Lytechinus pictus: one gene and its partner. The protein of the gene in region 1 interacts with the protein of each later gene in a biochemical or structural test. Links are inferred from orthologs where the notes say so. Each region holds a gene or a part of one and is shown in the gene's direction. Other genes may lie near its edges.

Region 1 (6,960 bases):
TTTTTAATGTAAACATCAATGTGTGCAGCCATTAACCCTCTGAAACAAACAAGTTCGGGTCTACTTCAAACTACTTTCATAATTTAAGCTGGATAACAAAAAATAATTGAACATTCTGTAATAAAAGTAATTTTCTTTATTTCCACATCATGATGGATCATGATGAATAGATATTGATGTCACTGGCGGATCCAAACAACAAAATTTTTAGGTCTTACTATTGATAACAAGCTTACGTTGAATGCTCATATCAACAATATTTGCAAAACTGTGGCAAGAAATATTGGAGTCATCAATAAGCTTAAAAACGTTCTTCCAGCACAGGCGCTATTCATGTTATATTGTGCAATAATTTTTACCATATCTTAATTATGGGATTCTGGCATGGGGTAATGCCTCTCAAACGAGACTCAATAAAGTCTTGCTACTTCAGAAAAAGTACTGAGAATAATATGCAATATGTCCTTTAGAGCTCATACGGATGAATTGTTTCGTCAGAAACGTATCCTTACAGTCAGTGACCTGTACCGCTTACAACTATTCCAATTCATGTATCAGCTAAATAGAAATAGTGTACCTAATGGCCTACAAAAGAAATTTATGAGAAACAATACTTTGCATTCATAATACGAGACAGTCAAATGACTATCACTTATACCTAAAAGTAGAACAGTATTTTCTAGCAAAACTATTTTTCACAGGACCAAAACTCTGGAATTCTCTGGACAGAGTAATAAAAGAGGCAGCTAATCTGAACCGATTTAAATTACTCATAAAAAAATTTCTTCTGAATTCTTATTGATTTAATCAAATATTTTGTGAACTTCATGCTTATCCATGCACGGTAGTGTTGATTATTTTAAAGTCAATATTTAATTTTGTATATAGTGTATAAACATTTGTGTTACAGTGTTTCTATCTATGTAAATTTATAGAATTTTGCTGATTATTTTTACTATATACTTATATCATATTACCCTTGTATACAATTTTGATAGGGGGTCTACATTTTACAAGCTTTGCTTTTTTAGTATGCCCCTCCACTTTTTTTCATTTCATTGGTATACGTTTCAATCCTGTATGTGTTATGCAGTTGATGCATCTTTTCATTGTAAAAATGATTTATTACGAAAGATACTTTGATGACTTGTGGAATATGAATATATCAATAAATAAAATGAATAAATAAATCCAGGGGGCACAGCCGGCCCGTGCCCCCCTTGAGAGGTACAATTAAAATCTTAGCAAATGTGCGGTTCTAACTCAAATGTGTCCCCCTTTTAAAGCGAGGACTTTTTTTGCTTGCTTATTATTTTTGTGGACGAATTACCTTAAGTTGTAGGTGGAAAACTGTTTTTGCGTGTCATTTTTCAGGAAAAATAATGTGCCCCCCTTGGAAAATCCTGGATCTGCCCCTGATTAATGTGATACGTATAATTAAATGTAAATGTTACAATTATTGTTCAGTCTTTAGAGCAATACCTCATTGCAGCTATAGTCCAAGTGGATGTCAGGTTCCCAAACTAGTGTATTATGGTCACTGTTACCTCATGAATTTTGAAATGTGTAGCCAATTAGGGATTTAAATTTATGGGTGTTTCTTATATATAGGTACCATTCTCTGGGGGCTGTTTGAAGAGGTAGTTTGCCCTAATGAACAATAAAAATAGCAGAAAATTGGTGAAGGCTTGAGGAAAAATCCATCAAAGATCAAGAAAGTTATTAGAAGTTTAAGTTTTAGTCTGTGACGTCATATATGGGAAACTGTCCCATGACATTTTACGCACTACAAAATGGTTCGTAATTGTTTTTAAAAAATATTTCAGGAGCGTAAGTGAAATGATTTGTCTCTTGATATATAGGCCTACTGAAGAAACAATAAAAACCATTTTGATTTTTTTTCTAGAAAATTACATTTCATTGATTTTTTTATACACCAAATATGGGAAAACTGCTCGCAAATGACGTTATCATAAAAGTATAAAAGTATAGCTTTTTAATCTTTGATGGATTTCCTAAAACCCTCACCAATATCATTTTACTATTTTCTGCTATTCTACAATGAATTTTATGTGAGGTTGGACTTCCCCTTTAATGAATTAAATACAATTGCGATCTAGAGTGTGCCTCAAATTTGAATATTAGTACAGCGATTTGACATGAGAAGGCCGTCCATGAGAGTCCAGAAAAAATAAGATATTCCAACCAAAAGATTATCAATTTGGTGCAGACGATCTATCTAGATGATTTTAAAGATGTGACCCTTTCTATTATTTTTCATTATTTATTCATTTTTTGCATGGGGGTTTAAGACGATTTTACCTAGGCCTATTCCAATATGACCTCTGCCATTTTTACCTCTGCCATTTTACCTCTGCCATTATTACCTCTGCCATTTTTATCTCTGCCACCACCTCTGCCATTTTTACCTCTGCCATTTTTACCTCAGTGTCATTTTTACACCGAGCCCGTTATAATGGGTCCTTCTCATGCAGGTGAAAGGGGCACAGAACACGTTCGTGTGGGGCACTTTCTTGCTTGGGTAAAAAGGGGGACTAATACGAAATAGGACACAAAGAAGAAGGAAGGGGCACTTGTTCACACATAAAACGGGTCCTTCAAGGGGCACACAACACATTCGTGAGGGGCACCTTTCTTGGGTAAAATGGGGGGGGGGCTGCTAGCCAACAATATCAGGGAGCACTTGCTCACACCGTTAAAACGGGTCCTTCTCAGGTAAAAAGGGCACAGAATACGTTCGTGTGGGTGCATTTTGGTAAAAATTGGCAAAGATTCGAGAAATTGCAAATTTCTGACACAATCACAAATCGGGTCCTTCTCAGGTAAAAGGGGCACATAAATCGTTTGAGAGGGGGCATTTTGCGAAATAAAATTGGCACTTATACGAGAAAGGGCAAACACCTAAAACGGGTCCTCCTCAGGTGAAAGGGGAACATGCAAACGTTCGTGAGGGGGCATTCTTCTTGCGTAAAAAAGGGCACTTTTTCAGGGCTTCAAAAAGTACGTGTGGGGGCACTGTGCCCCCCCCCGGATAGCCGCCCCTGCTTGTCAGCTAAAATGTGTAGAGTTTGTTTTCCTAATTCTTTCTTTTCCTTAATTATTGTTAGAGAATGTTGGTGTGCAAATTTAATATTATATTTGTATATGGAAAAAGTGAATAGCCGCTGCATCAGAGTGACACTTGCAAATTAGATTTATTGAAAATCAATATCCATGCAGAGTTTAACATGATTGCTTGGAAAAAAAAAGTTTCTTGGCGTGACTATGTAGACACATAATTTGTGTTAGCCATTTTTTATTCAATATTTTTTTTTCAAATCTGAATATAACTCAGTTTCGTCTTTGAGTGTTTGAAAGGATTATCACTTTAAAAATGTTTTTACTCATAATCCACGATTTACGTAAAAAAATTATATATATAATCACATTCACGGTTTATCATATATATAAAGCACAAAAATCTAAATAATCAACAAAAAATACAACCAATCACTATTTTTGTATCATTATTAGAATGTAAGGCACAGCTGAATCTTAGAGTTCTCTATAGAGTTATAAATATCTATAAGCATAACAATTTACAGTTTTCAGTGCTTTTTAATTATAACAATGACATATATTGAAGGTAGGCTACAGAGAATTACCTACCATTTGAAGTATTATATTTCACCTAAATACGTTTAAGATGAATTCGCCTTTGAATTTTTGTCGTCATATCGTTAACTGATATATATATATATTTCAGATTATTTGTTGGTATTCATTGGAACTGCCATTTGCCTGAATAATTTATCTCTGTTTTTCCCCCCTTTCCATTTCTTCTTTCTTTTGTTTTGTCATAATTCAGCAAAACATATTTTGCAGAGTAGGCCCAATGGATGGTCATGACCTATGACGTCACAACCGTGGAATACTAGAGGCGAATTGCACTTCACTGTAAAATAATATCCATTCGCTTATCGTTAGTTCTCTGAATCAAATCTGAATCTGGAGATAGAATATAACACAATCAAAAGAAAGCAATCACAGTTGGTTGAAAATATGAAAAGTTACTTGCTATTATCTTTCGAAAAGAAATGTGGGGCAAAGAATTTTGGTGGAAGAAAGTAGTTCTCCAACTGTGTACAAATCGGGTCAAGTGTTGAGGCTTCGTTCATGTGTTGAATGCTATAAATATTGTCAGAAAAGTGCGTATTTTTGCACTTTTGGCGTACTGTGAGTACCTTTTTGGAGGATATCCTGAGCCTTCGACTACACTTTATCAGTGACCCATCATGAAATTTCAAATAGATGTCCGGAGATTCGATGAAACTAGTTCAGAATAAACTACCCAGCTGAGTCACTGTTCCAAAATAGAATTCGCGAATCCACATAAAACGAAGGTGCAGCAATAGCGGAGTCCATGAAGAACAAGTCTTCGAGCTCGCCTACATCCGTAAACACAGTGAACGCAATGCAGTGAATCACCCGTGTTATGGTTGCACCAGATTCGACAAACTCTCAAAATATAACAATTATTTCATATACTCGGATGCCTCAATTGAAGTGGCATGATCCAATATGACTCCACTGAATAATTTTTCATAGGCTCTGGAAATTCTACAGAAAAGAGCCCTCAAACTGTTGCAAGTAGACTGACTTGACACTTGACTTGTCTTGTGTTTTTTTTCCTGTCATTTTTGAATTATCCAGAACAACGTCGCCAACATGAGTAACTCGATGAAAGCACCACCGCCGAAGAAAGACTCTCGAATGAGGATTCGTGCCTTTCCAGTATGTTCTGCAATTCAGATATCTAAGTTACACAGATTGTTTATCGTAGAATGTTTATTATTTTTATTAAGTCAAGAACTAAGGTGTTATTGGGATTGCAAAAACATAATTTGTGTTTGAGGGGGGGGGGGGGGCCGGGACTCAACAACAGACAACAATTACTTTAGCCTTTTAGGACTTAACATGGAATTTTTATGGAAAAAAAATGGCCTAGGATCTCTCGAGTCAGTCTAGACAACAATTGACCAACTAGACAAAGGCTAAACAGACAAAGCGTTCATGCCCAGCTGATATTTTGCGTCAATTTCTATATTATTGTTTGTCCATTTTCTAGAGTCTTAGAGTCTTACTTAGTGGAGGCAGTGTAGCTCAGTCGGTTAGAGCGCCTGTTCCGGATACTTTATATTTTTGAAGCCTTCTTTTTTGTCTTAAGATTACACTAAAAATATGAATTCAATAGTTGTAATCATCTTATATTTTGTTCTCTATAATATTTCCTCACATTTTGTACTAAAAATTGATGACACTTCGCTTGTAATTTTTTCCAAATGACTTTCTAAAATTGATCGTCCGGACACACAACCTGTCCGGACACACAACAACTGGGTATATACCTCGTCAGGTACATGTACCCAGTTGTGTGCCCGGGCGCACTCATTCTATGAACAAGGTTACGATATGGCCCGGGCGGGTCGTTTATCTGGACAAGTCGGCAATATCAAGACAGGAGTAATATTAGACGAAACAATTATTTCTGCTACTCTTTTTTTTTTGCTAGAAAACCTAGATATAAAAAAAAGAAAAGATAATAGTTTTTGCGAGACGTGAAGATTTAACTTGCGTTTGGACATTAAATTGTTTGAAAGTAATATGAGACAATTGATGCATAAACTTTCAGTCATTTCTGCTACTCCTTTTTTTTTTAAAGGAAACCCAGATATGAAAAAATAGACAGTTTTTTTGATAGATTTAACTGGTGTTTGGACATCGTTCCCCCCCCCCTCACTTCTCCTACATGTACATGTGTTCATGTTATTTGATACATGTAGATAATACATGTATATGTACATGTAAGTACAGTTTCACCAAATGTTCAAAAAAAAAAAAAAGAAATATGTGTTTTTACCAAGTTAACACCCCAACCTGTCCCAGGACCTACAGTATTGCATAACAGTTTGTATGACATTGTTGCCATTCAATGAAATCTTTGCATTTCATTGGTTCAGAGCAAATTTGTCATTAAAAAGACAGGCATGATATTTTTTCAGATTTTCTAATTTTTGATTTTTAGTTTTTTTACGTGAAATCCTTTGCCCAAGAACATTCTCATGCAGTTTTTTACTGCTTTTTCAAGTTAAATGATAAAGCTATCATGCAGACTTACCTTGAAAAATCACTATCAATTTCACTATGCAAGAGCTTGTAACCCCGACAGGGGCTTCTCGGACTCCGGCGGGGACTTAGCCACCCTTGGCTATTTTTCAGATTCTTTTTCAAGGGAAATATCATGCCTGAAATGAGTAATGCGATGATGCTTCATGATTTACTCCTAGGATGGCAAAGCTAAGTACAACAAAGCTTTAGAGAGTTCTGTTTTCATCTAATGAGAACTACAGTTTTCAACGAATTACATTTTCTTGGTGATTACAAGTACACACACATACATAGACATGTACATACATGTAGTTAAAAACAGGATCCAGGTTATGGATATTGAGTTGTTCTAGCCCAACCCCCCCCCCTTTATTTTACTTCCAAATGTAGTACGGGTAAAATTAAGAATACTAATAATTTCCACTAACTTCACTACATGTAATGCACTTTGTAGTGTTTTCTACCGTAGTTTTACTTGTGTGTTACATGCACATCTTTAGTTTGAACTAATTTTTTTAAATATTTATGTTGACCAACTAAGGTTTACATATTTGGAAAATATCCTTGGTACATGTATAAATTGTACATGTAGGCCTACATGTACATGTTGGATTTGGGTAATTGAAATGGAATGTTGATGTCATTGCATGTGAGCCTACATACAGTACATACAGTACATGTACAAGTACCCTGTTGGCTGATACGGATACGTTAAATGGGTGTATAGTAGACGTAGTGTAAAGTACAAATGAATAATGCATTTACTTCTTCCCTTTGTTTTCAGACAAACAT
Region 2 (7,968 bases), on another chromosome or scaffold:
CCAGCAAAGAATGTGTGCCAGTAGAGGAAAGGAATGTACCTGTCGCACGTGAACTCTTCAGAGGCAGTGAGGACAAGATCTGCAAGCAAGTGATCCTTTTTGTAAGAAAATTTCCAATTTGTACATTTTACAATTAATTTTTTTTAAAGCCTTTGTACACATTTAGAGTATCAAGGCTTACAAAATGTAAAAATTTAATGTTTGTCCAAAAATCATTATGGGAAAGGTGGATTTCCGAGGGAAATCTATCTTTGTTTACACAGTTGTATGAGCAACCTTATAGGAGGCTTGTCTAGGCTCCGTGATGAAAATACAATGTAAAAATGATAAAATTATCTTCATGGAGTCCTCTCGGCTAGCCAGTGACATGGGCCCATGCCCATCAATTTTAATTCATACTTTTGCATAACCAAATGGCGTGAATTTGGAACTGGAAGTATAATTTCAGATTGACCTCCGAAATGAAACGTGCACAATTAGTCTGAACTAAAATAACATTTCCTGAATTTTTTCTTAAATCTGGAGGCTGAAGTATTTTTTTATCTTTGAAATTAAATTGGTTCTCGTTGTTTTTTACCTCTGACTTACCAGTATGTGTGGGGGTACCGTAGAAGTAGAATTAAAGGGATGGTCCAGGCTGGAAATATATCTCAATAAATAGAGTACAATTCACAGAGCAAAATGCTGAAAACTTGATCAAAATTTGATAACTAATTAAGGTTTTGAATTTTAAAGATTTGCATTATTCCGGTGAAATAGTTCTAGGCATGTCTTTATGAATATTCATTAGGTTGGCTGATGATGTCATATCCCAATTGCCCTTTTGTATTTTATTATATGAGATTAGGTTTATTAAGATATTTTTAACCAAGAACTATTGACAATTGGATTGACAACTGATTAGGTGCATTAGTTATTGACGCAACTTATTTCATTACAATGGAGACGCATCATTTACACATGTATGAAAAAATCAAACATTTATGATTTCATCTAGTAACATAAAAAAAAGGAAAGTGGAGATGTGACATCAGCCCACCTAATGAATATTCATGACGAAGTGCATACAACTGTTTTCACAAAATATTGATAAACTTTAAAATTCAATAACTTCTTATTATCCTATTTTGATGAAATTTTCATCATTTTGCTCTGTGAATTTTTAGATGTAAATATTTTCGGCCCGGACCATCCCTTTAATCCTCGGATAAAATTTTGTATTTCATTTTTTTTTTTGCTTTGTCTTGCGTTTTTAAACATGTTCTGGGAACTGCTTTTTGAAAGTTGTCAGCATTAACGAGTTGTCTTTTTCCGACAGTTACCATAGTAACAGTCAGAGGCCAGTGCTTCTCAGCCAATCAAAAGCAATGATTTCACTGAAATAGTCGGCACTGACAATCATGAAATACCCATCAGATGTTAGCAGATAATGTGCAACATAGACTCCTAGATACATATGCAAACATACATAGTCTAAGTCTTTATTATTAAAATAAATGTATAGGTATAAGGTCGAGGCAATTTCATCTCTGCGATGTCAATTTCAGAAGTATTCCCAAGACCATGTGAACTTACTATACATGTTGTAATAAAAATGATGATGTGCTGTCTATCATTTATAATTGAATCATTGAAATATGGAACTTAGAGAAGTTTCACTATCCCATGTATTTTCTTTATGTGCAGATATAATTTTACACCACTGAAATTTTGTATTACGGTATTCACTGTACTTATTATTTTTCATTCCATTGTTTTTTTTTTCTAATCTTCAGATACATCGCATCTACCAGCAAAGATCAAGTGCCACTACAGGAAAGGAAGGTACCTGTTTCACGTTTCCTCTTCAGAGCCAGTGAGGGCCCCAAGATCTCAATAAATAATAATTAAAAAAAGACTCCTTTATCATTCCTTTAAAAATAGTACATATTATTTATTGAAGGTAAATGCTTAGATGCATTATATTCAAATTTTGTCTCCAAGCTAGCATGTAAAAATTGGATTGACTACATATTTACTGTGTAAGTTAATGATCTTTGCTGACACATAATACAAGAATTATACGCAGCATGTTACAGTTTGTAACATAATTTTCTTTCATTAAATTCCTAGTTTAAATACCATATAGATGTTTTTTGTGACTTTTGTCATTCTCTGATGTTTTTTGGTACAGATTTCAAGAGACTGAGGGATTGATTTACCAGAGCAAGTTTACAGTCCAATCCTGTTATATTGTGCATGTGGAAATTAACAAGGTTTCAATACAATGCTACAAATTTACCGTGATTCATTTCATCAGTCCTATGTGCAAGGATAATTATTTCACTTGTCCATGCACATTGTTATAACAGGAGTGGACATTCAATGTAAAGATAATTGAAGATAGTTTATAATTGAAATAACCGCCTGAGAGGGGGGGGGGGTGTTGGTACCAATATTCTAATGTGTGTGTGCTCAAGGAAAACGAAGGAGTGATTATATGAGAAGAGTAAAAGATCGGGACTGTACATATCCACATGATTCATTTTTGTTTATGCTATACATTGCAGGGTGTTTCTAACTGGTACCACTTGACAATTTATGTTTCCAACTGGTCCTAACTGGTGCTTCCAACTTGTTCTAACTGGCACCAGTTGACAACTGGTGTTTCCAACTGGTTTTAACTGGCACCAGTTGACAACTCATGTTTCCAACTGGTCCTAACTGGCACCAGTTGACACCTCATGTTTCCAACTGGTCCTAACTGGCACCAGTTGACAATTTGTGTTTCCAACTGGTTTTAACTGGCACCAGTTGACAACTCATGTTTCCAACTGGTCCTAACTGGCACCAGTTTACAATTGGTGTTTCCAACTGGTTTTAACTGGCACCAGTTGACAACTCATGTTTCCAACTGGTCCTAACTGGTACCAGTTAGGACCAGTTGTCAACTGGTACCAGTTGCTAACTGGTACCAGTTAGGACCAGTTGCCAACTGGTATTTCCAACTGGTACCAGTTACAATTTGTCAACTGGGGCCCGTTTCTCAACACCATCATAAGTCTAACTTCTTGACTAAATCGGAGATAGTGAGCTACTTGTCCGCTAACTGTTTCACGAAGCCCTCTTTACCAAGATCGGGTACAACAACCTCACTAAATATTTATGACACCTCCGAACCTGTCTTAACTTCTTTCTTAATGACGTAGTGGCATCACGTGGGTAGACTATGACATGCGAAAGTGCCTAGAAATTCTAAAATTATAAACTTACGTAATCAATCATAGAGGTTGAAATTACATCACAAAACAAGTGGGTTAATGCATTCAATGATAATTGTAATACAAAGAAACTATAAAAACTGTTGGTAAACGCCACAAAACCATTAATTTTGAAATAGTAAAATGATTTAATCGATAAAGATTCTACCACGTCAGGCCATCCATAACTGAACTCGTATTTGTTGTTTTCAGACCCCTATTAACAGTTGGATGAATTCTATCTCTAATTTATGCATATAATTTGTCCAATATCGTATCTTTCGGTATCAATGATTAAAAATGTTTCGTTAAACTATATTTTGATGACGTTTGGAATCGTAAAAGTCCGTATAATTATCATCATTTTACAAAGAAAACCGTTATGGTTTACTTTCGTAAACTATCAAAATTGGGTCTCCCGGGGGTACCCATCTCAACGTCCACAAGTGATTTTTTAGTCATGAAATGAATTATTCATAATCTAATTTTCTCTGCAATTGAATGCTCCAGTCTTCATGGTCTAAGTATGTATGATGCATAATTCACCTGTGCTATTATTTTGAAAAGATTTATTTCCCAATTCATCGTAATATTTGCAATTTTGTAATAATTTTTCTTTTTGAAAATTATGCTATTTTGTGGCTAAGGCTACGTCTCGTCTGCTCTTTTTACCGATAGTATCGATATCAAGGTATTCTAGTTAGGAAGCCTTTCGAGAAACAGGTTTAGTAAGATTGGAACTAACTCCGTGGTTGGTGGATAAAGATATGACTAACTTGTCCATGTGTTGAGAAACGGGCCCCTGGATTCCAGTTGATTCCAGTATTGGAATCAACTGGAATCCAGTTGATTCCAGTATTCCAATTTCCATATTGAATCCAGTTCGCTAACTGGAATCAACTGGTACCAGTACCAGTTGGATGAACTGGTCCTTAACTGGTTTTTTGACCTGGGCGGTAATACAATACGTGACTATACATAAGTTTTAAAGCTAGAATCTAAACATAACTAGCAGTTTGGCGCATTTCTATAGTTGCATTTTCCCTCGGTGTGTAGGATAGTATAGGACACAGTGCCAGGCGTTAGGGGAGTGACCATACGTACAGTATAAGTCTTTCACTCCCCAGACGCCTCCAGGCTAGTCCTGGAGGTGTCTTTCAAAATTTTCTTTCCTTTCCAACTGAAAAGTGAAGGACCATTCTTCGTAATCGTATCGCCCAAATCGGCTTTGTGAAACAGTTGAGCGATATCTCCTTCTTACGCAGTCGTAGAATGGTTCTAGTTCTACGAAAGACCCTTTCATTCATGCAACAGGCCGCCTAGCCCTGCTAGGCCTAGGGCTAGGCCCCTGCCTGGCCTGGCTAGGACTCAGGAGCTAGGCCGCATGCCGTATGGTATACTTTTACACTACAGTACAATAGGTACGGGAGCTACCCCAGAGTTTCGGCCGAAATCATAGACGATGCCCGCTGAAGTCACATCCACGGTTGAAGAGGAAAGACTGCTTCTCTGGTATCTGCACGAGTTTACAGATAAATAACGAAATAGAAAGACACACAATTTAAAATTATTGATTAATTAATATATCAAGTATAATATAAGCTTAATAACATACCATATTTATTCCTAAGATGCGAAATATTATACAATAAACTTGAGTTTGCCGCGGGCTTAGTGTCTCCGAAAACGATTGCTTCACGAAATGCGCGCATGCGCATCCTCTAACAAAAAAATATTCTGAAAAAGTGGTGCCATCGATTTTTTGCCTCCACAAAATGGTAGGATTTCACGCCTTTTCAGAAGTGATTAAAGAATATTCTTGACTGTAAGTATGCTTCAATATTTGATTCGAGAAAATATGTGATAGAAATAATATTATGTTCGATTTCTTAGTTCAATAATAAACTTTTTTTGTAGCCCATTTTCAGGAAGCAATCAATATTTATAATGGCCCCACGTACTGACAAAAATGTTGGTGAAGTACATGTCCCCATCAAATTCAGCCATTGCATTGCCTCGATAGATCTAATTTGGAAATCTAATTTTCTTTGATTCCTTACAATGGGATTGCTGAGATGCTTTAAAAATGAAGATATCAATACAATAGTTTTGTTCCATGTTTGCGAACTTTCTTGCAAAAGGGATTGTCTTCAATTTTTTTTAAAATGACAAAACCAACTCACTGCGACTGCATTGCCATATGATTTGCACAGAAATCGAGTCGTCGACATGTTAGCGGTTCCCTTCATCTGTCAGGGGTCCAAGCGTAATGCGAAAGCAGCAACTTCTGGGTTGCATGTACAGCTGATCTGCATGCACAATCATGACATAAAAGCATTTTGAGGGCGAGTGATTGAACGAATTTGAAACTGTATGAAATCCATGTCTGCACACCTAACTATTTAAGTTAAGATTTAACATGAATGTCTTTTTATTTCACAAAACTTTTCAATTGATAAAGTTCTTTAAATTCTTATTAGTAAGTATGCCAAAAATCTCATAAAAATTTGAAAGAAATCTATAGGAGCCTAGTATGATTTTCTTGGAAAAAGCCTCGGCCAGTCATTTTCAGATTGAAAAAAAAAACGGTGCCCCTGTCTGCTCACACTTCACATTATGCACGACTCGGGGATTTGTGTGAGAAAGGCTGCATTTTGAGGCCGTAACATAAAATGTCGAAATCATTATTTTTCCACCATTTTTATTTGGATTTTTTAATTACATGTACATGTGTAAACTTCTAGTCGTTGCATATCTGACTGAGAGTTACTTGATTTTCTTCTCAGATATTTTAAACAGTGATGCATTCATGTAGATCTTGACTGTAGATCTTTATTTTCACTTCTGCTCACTCACTTTGCCAGGAGGCTTCTAGAGAGTAAAAATCATTTACTTACAAAGCCAGGGATTCCATCCCATTCATCTGCATGTACCGCCAAAAAACCTGAAACTTTCGCCCCCGAGATTTTTACTTTCATTCTAAAAGATCTAGCCCTAAATCATGTAAATGGGATACAACTTCTTATCTGACATTTCTATTCTATCAATTTCATTTTTAAACAAGCATTCATAAAAAATGAGAAAAATTTTATGGAAAGACGGGGGAGACTTGCCCGATGTTTACACCGCCATCTTGTTTCATATTGTTCTTCCCCAATGTATGGACGCATACATGTATTCTCACTGGGTACAATTACCTGGGAAATATTTGCGAAGCTAAGTTAGCTGTCTAGATTTGATGATATTTTTTGTGGCTTTACAGGTGCAATTGAATTATGGCTATGAGCGCAAATTTGTGCCCCACGCCTGCTTACCACGCTTACATTTTAAGACCAGGGGCCCGTTTCTCAGTCTAACTTCTTGACTAAATCGGAGATAGTGAGCTACTTGTCCTCTAACCGTTTCACGGAGCCCTCTTTGCCAAGATTGGATACAACAAACTCAGTAAATATTTATGACACCTCCGAATCTGTCATAACTTCTTTCTTAATGACGTAGTGGCATCACGTGGGTAGACTATGACATGCAAAAATGCCTAGAAATTTGACAATTATAATCTTAAGTAATCAATCATAAAGGTTGAAATTACATCACAAAACAAGTGGGATAATGCATTCAATGATAATTGTAACACAAAGAAACTATAAAAACTATTGGTAAAACGTCACAAAACCATTCATTTTGAAATAATAAAAATAATTTAATGGATAAAGATTCTACCACGTCAGGCCATCCATAACTGGACTCGTATTTGTCGTTTTCAGACCCCTATTAACATCTGGATAAATTCTATCTCTAATTTATGCATAGAATTTTTCAAATCATATGTTTCAGTATCACAGATTTAAAAAGCTTATGTTAAACTATATCTTGATGATGTTTGGAATCATACAAGACTGTATATATTTATCATAATTTTAGTTTTTTACAAAGAAAACCATACATGTATGGATGGTTTACTTAAACTATTAAAATTGGATATCCCGGGGGTACCCATCTCAGCGTCCACGTGTGATTTTTAGTCATGAAATTAATTATACATAATTTAATTTTCTCAGCAATTGAATGCTCCAGTCTTTATGGTCTATGATGCATAATTTACCTGTGCTATTATTTTGAAAAAGTGTATTTCCCAATTCATCACAATATGTGCAATTTTTCTCATAACTTTTCATTTTGAAAATTATGCTTTTTTGTGACTAAGGCTACGTCTCGTCTGTTCTATTTACCGATGGTATATCAAGGTATTCTACATGTAGTTAGGAAGCCTTTTGTGAAGCAGGTTTAGTAAGATTGGAACTAACTCCGTGGATGGTGGGTAAAGATATGAATAACTTGTCCAGGTGTTGAGAAACAGGCCCCTGATTCTCATTGAGTGACTGTTGCCAGTGACAAAAATCATTAAATGGAAATACTTTTTTACATAAGAGCTTTGGTGTGATCAGTTAAATTACAATAAAAAAAAATAGGAACATACAAGGCATCTTAATTGGAGATTAACTTGGCAGAATTTGTAAATATGCCCAGCCACCATTAAATCTACCAGATCAAGTGAATTAGACATTAGATGAGTTGTTTTTTTATTAACTATTGTGGAATGTAAATTCAGCAAAATAAATGCTCTTGTTGTTGTTTATTGAAATGCTGTTTATTGCTATCATTTTGTAATTAAAAAGTACTATTAGTATTAGCCATCAAGAGCAGGATTTGATCATGTTTATTTAGTCAC

Evidence for each region. The genes of interacting proteins can lie anywhere in the genome.
Region 2: the proteins of cullin-3-like (region 1) and kelch-like protein 20 form a complex in vitro, tested with the Homo sapiens proteins (2 studies listed by BioGRID and IntAct). The link is inferred for Lytechinus pictus from reciprocal best matches to the Homo sapiens genes CUL3 and KLHL20.

Annotation. Positions count from the first base shown.
Region 1 is NC_087260.1:19,592,287-19,599,246, reverse strand, and holds the start of cullin-3-like, read left to right. Parts: upstream 1-3,936; 5' UTR 3,937-4,728; coding exon 4,729-4,794; intron 4,795-6,952; coding exon 6,953-6,960. UniProt on the Homo sapiens protein: Core component of multiple cullin-RING-based BCR (BTB-CUL3-RBX1) E3 ubiquitin-protein ligase complexes which mediate the ubiquitination and subsequent proteasomal degradation of target proteins.
Region 2 is NC_087259.1:10,976,092-10,984,059, reverse strand, and holds the start of kelch-like protein 20, read left to right. Parts: upstream 1-4,958; 5' UTR 4,959-5,064; intron 5,065-7,968. UniProt on the Homo sapiens protein: Substrate-specific adapter of a BCR (BTB-CUL3-RBX1) E3 ubiquitin-protein ligase complex involved in interferon response and anterograde Golgi to endosome transport.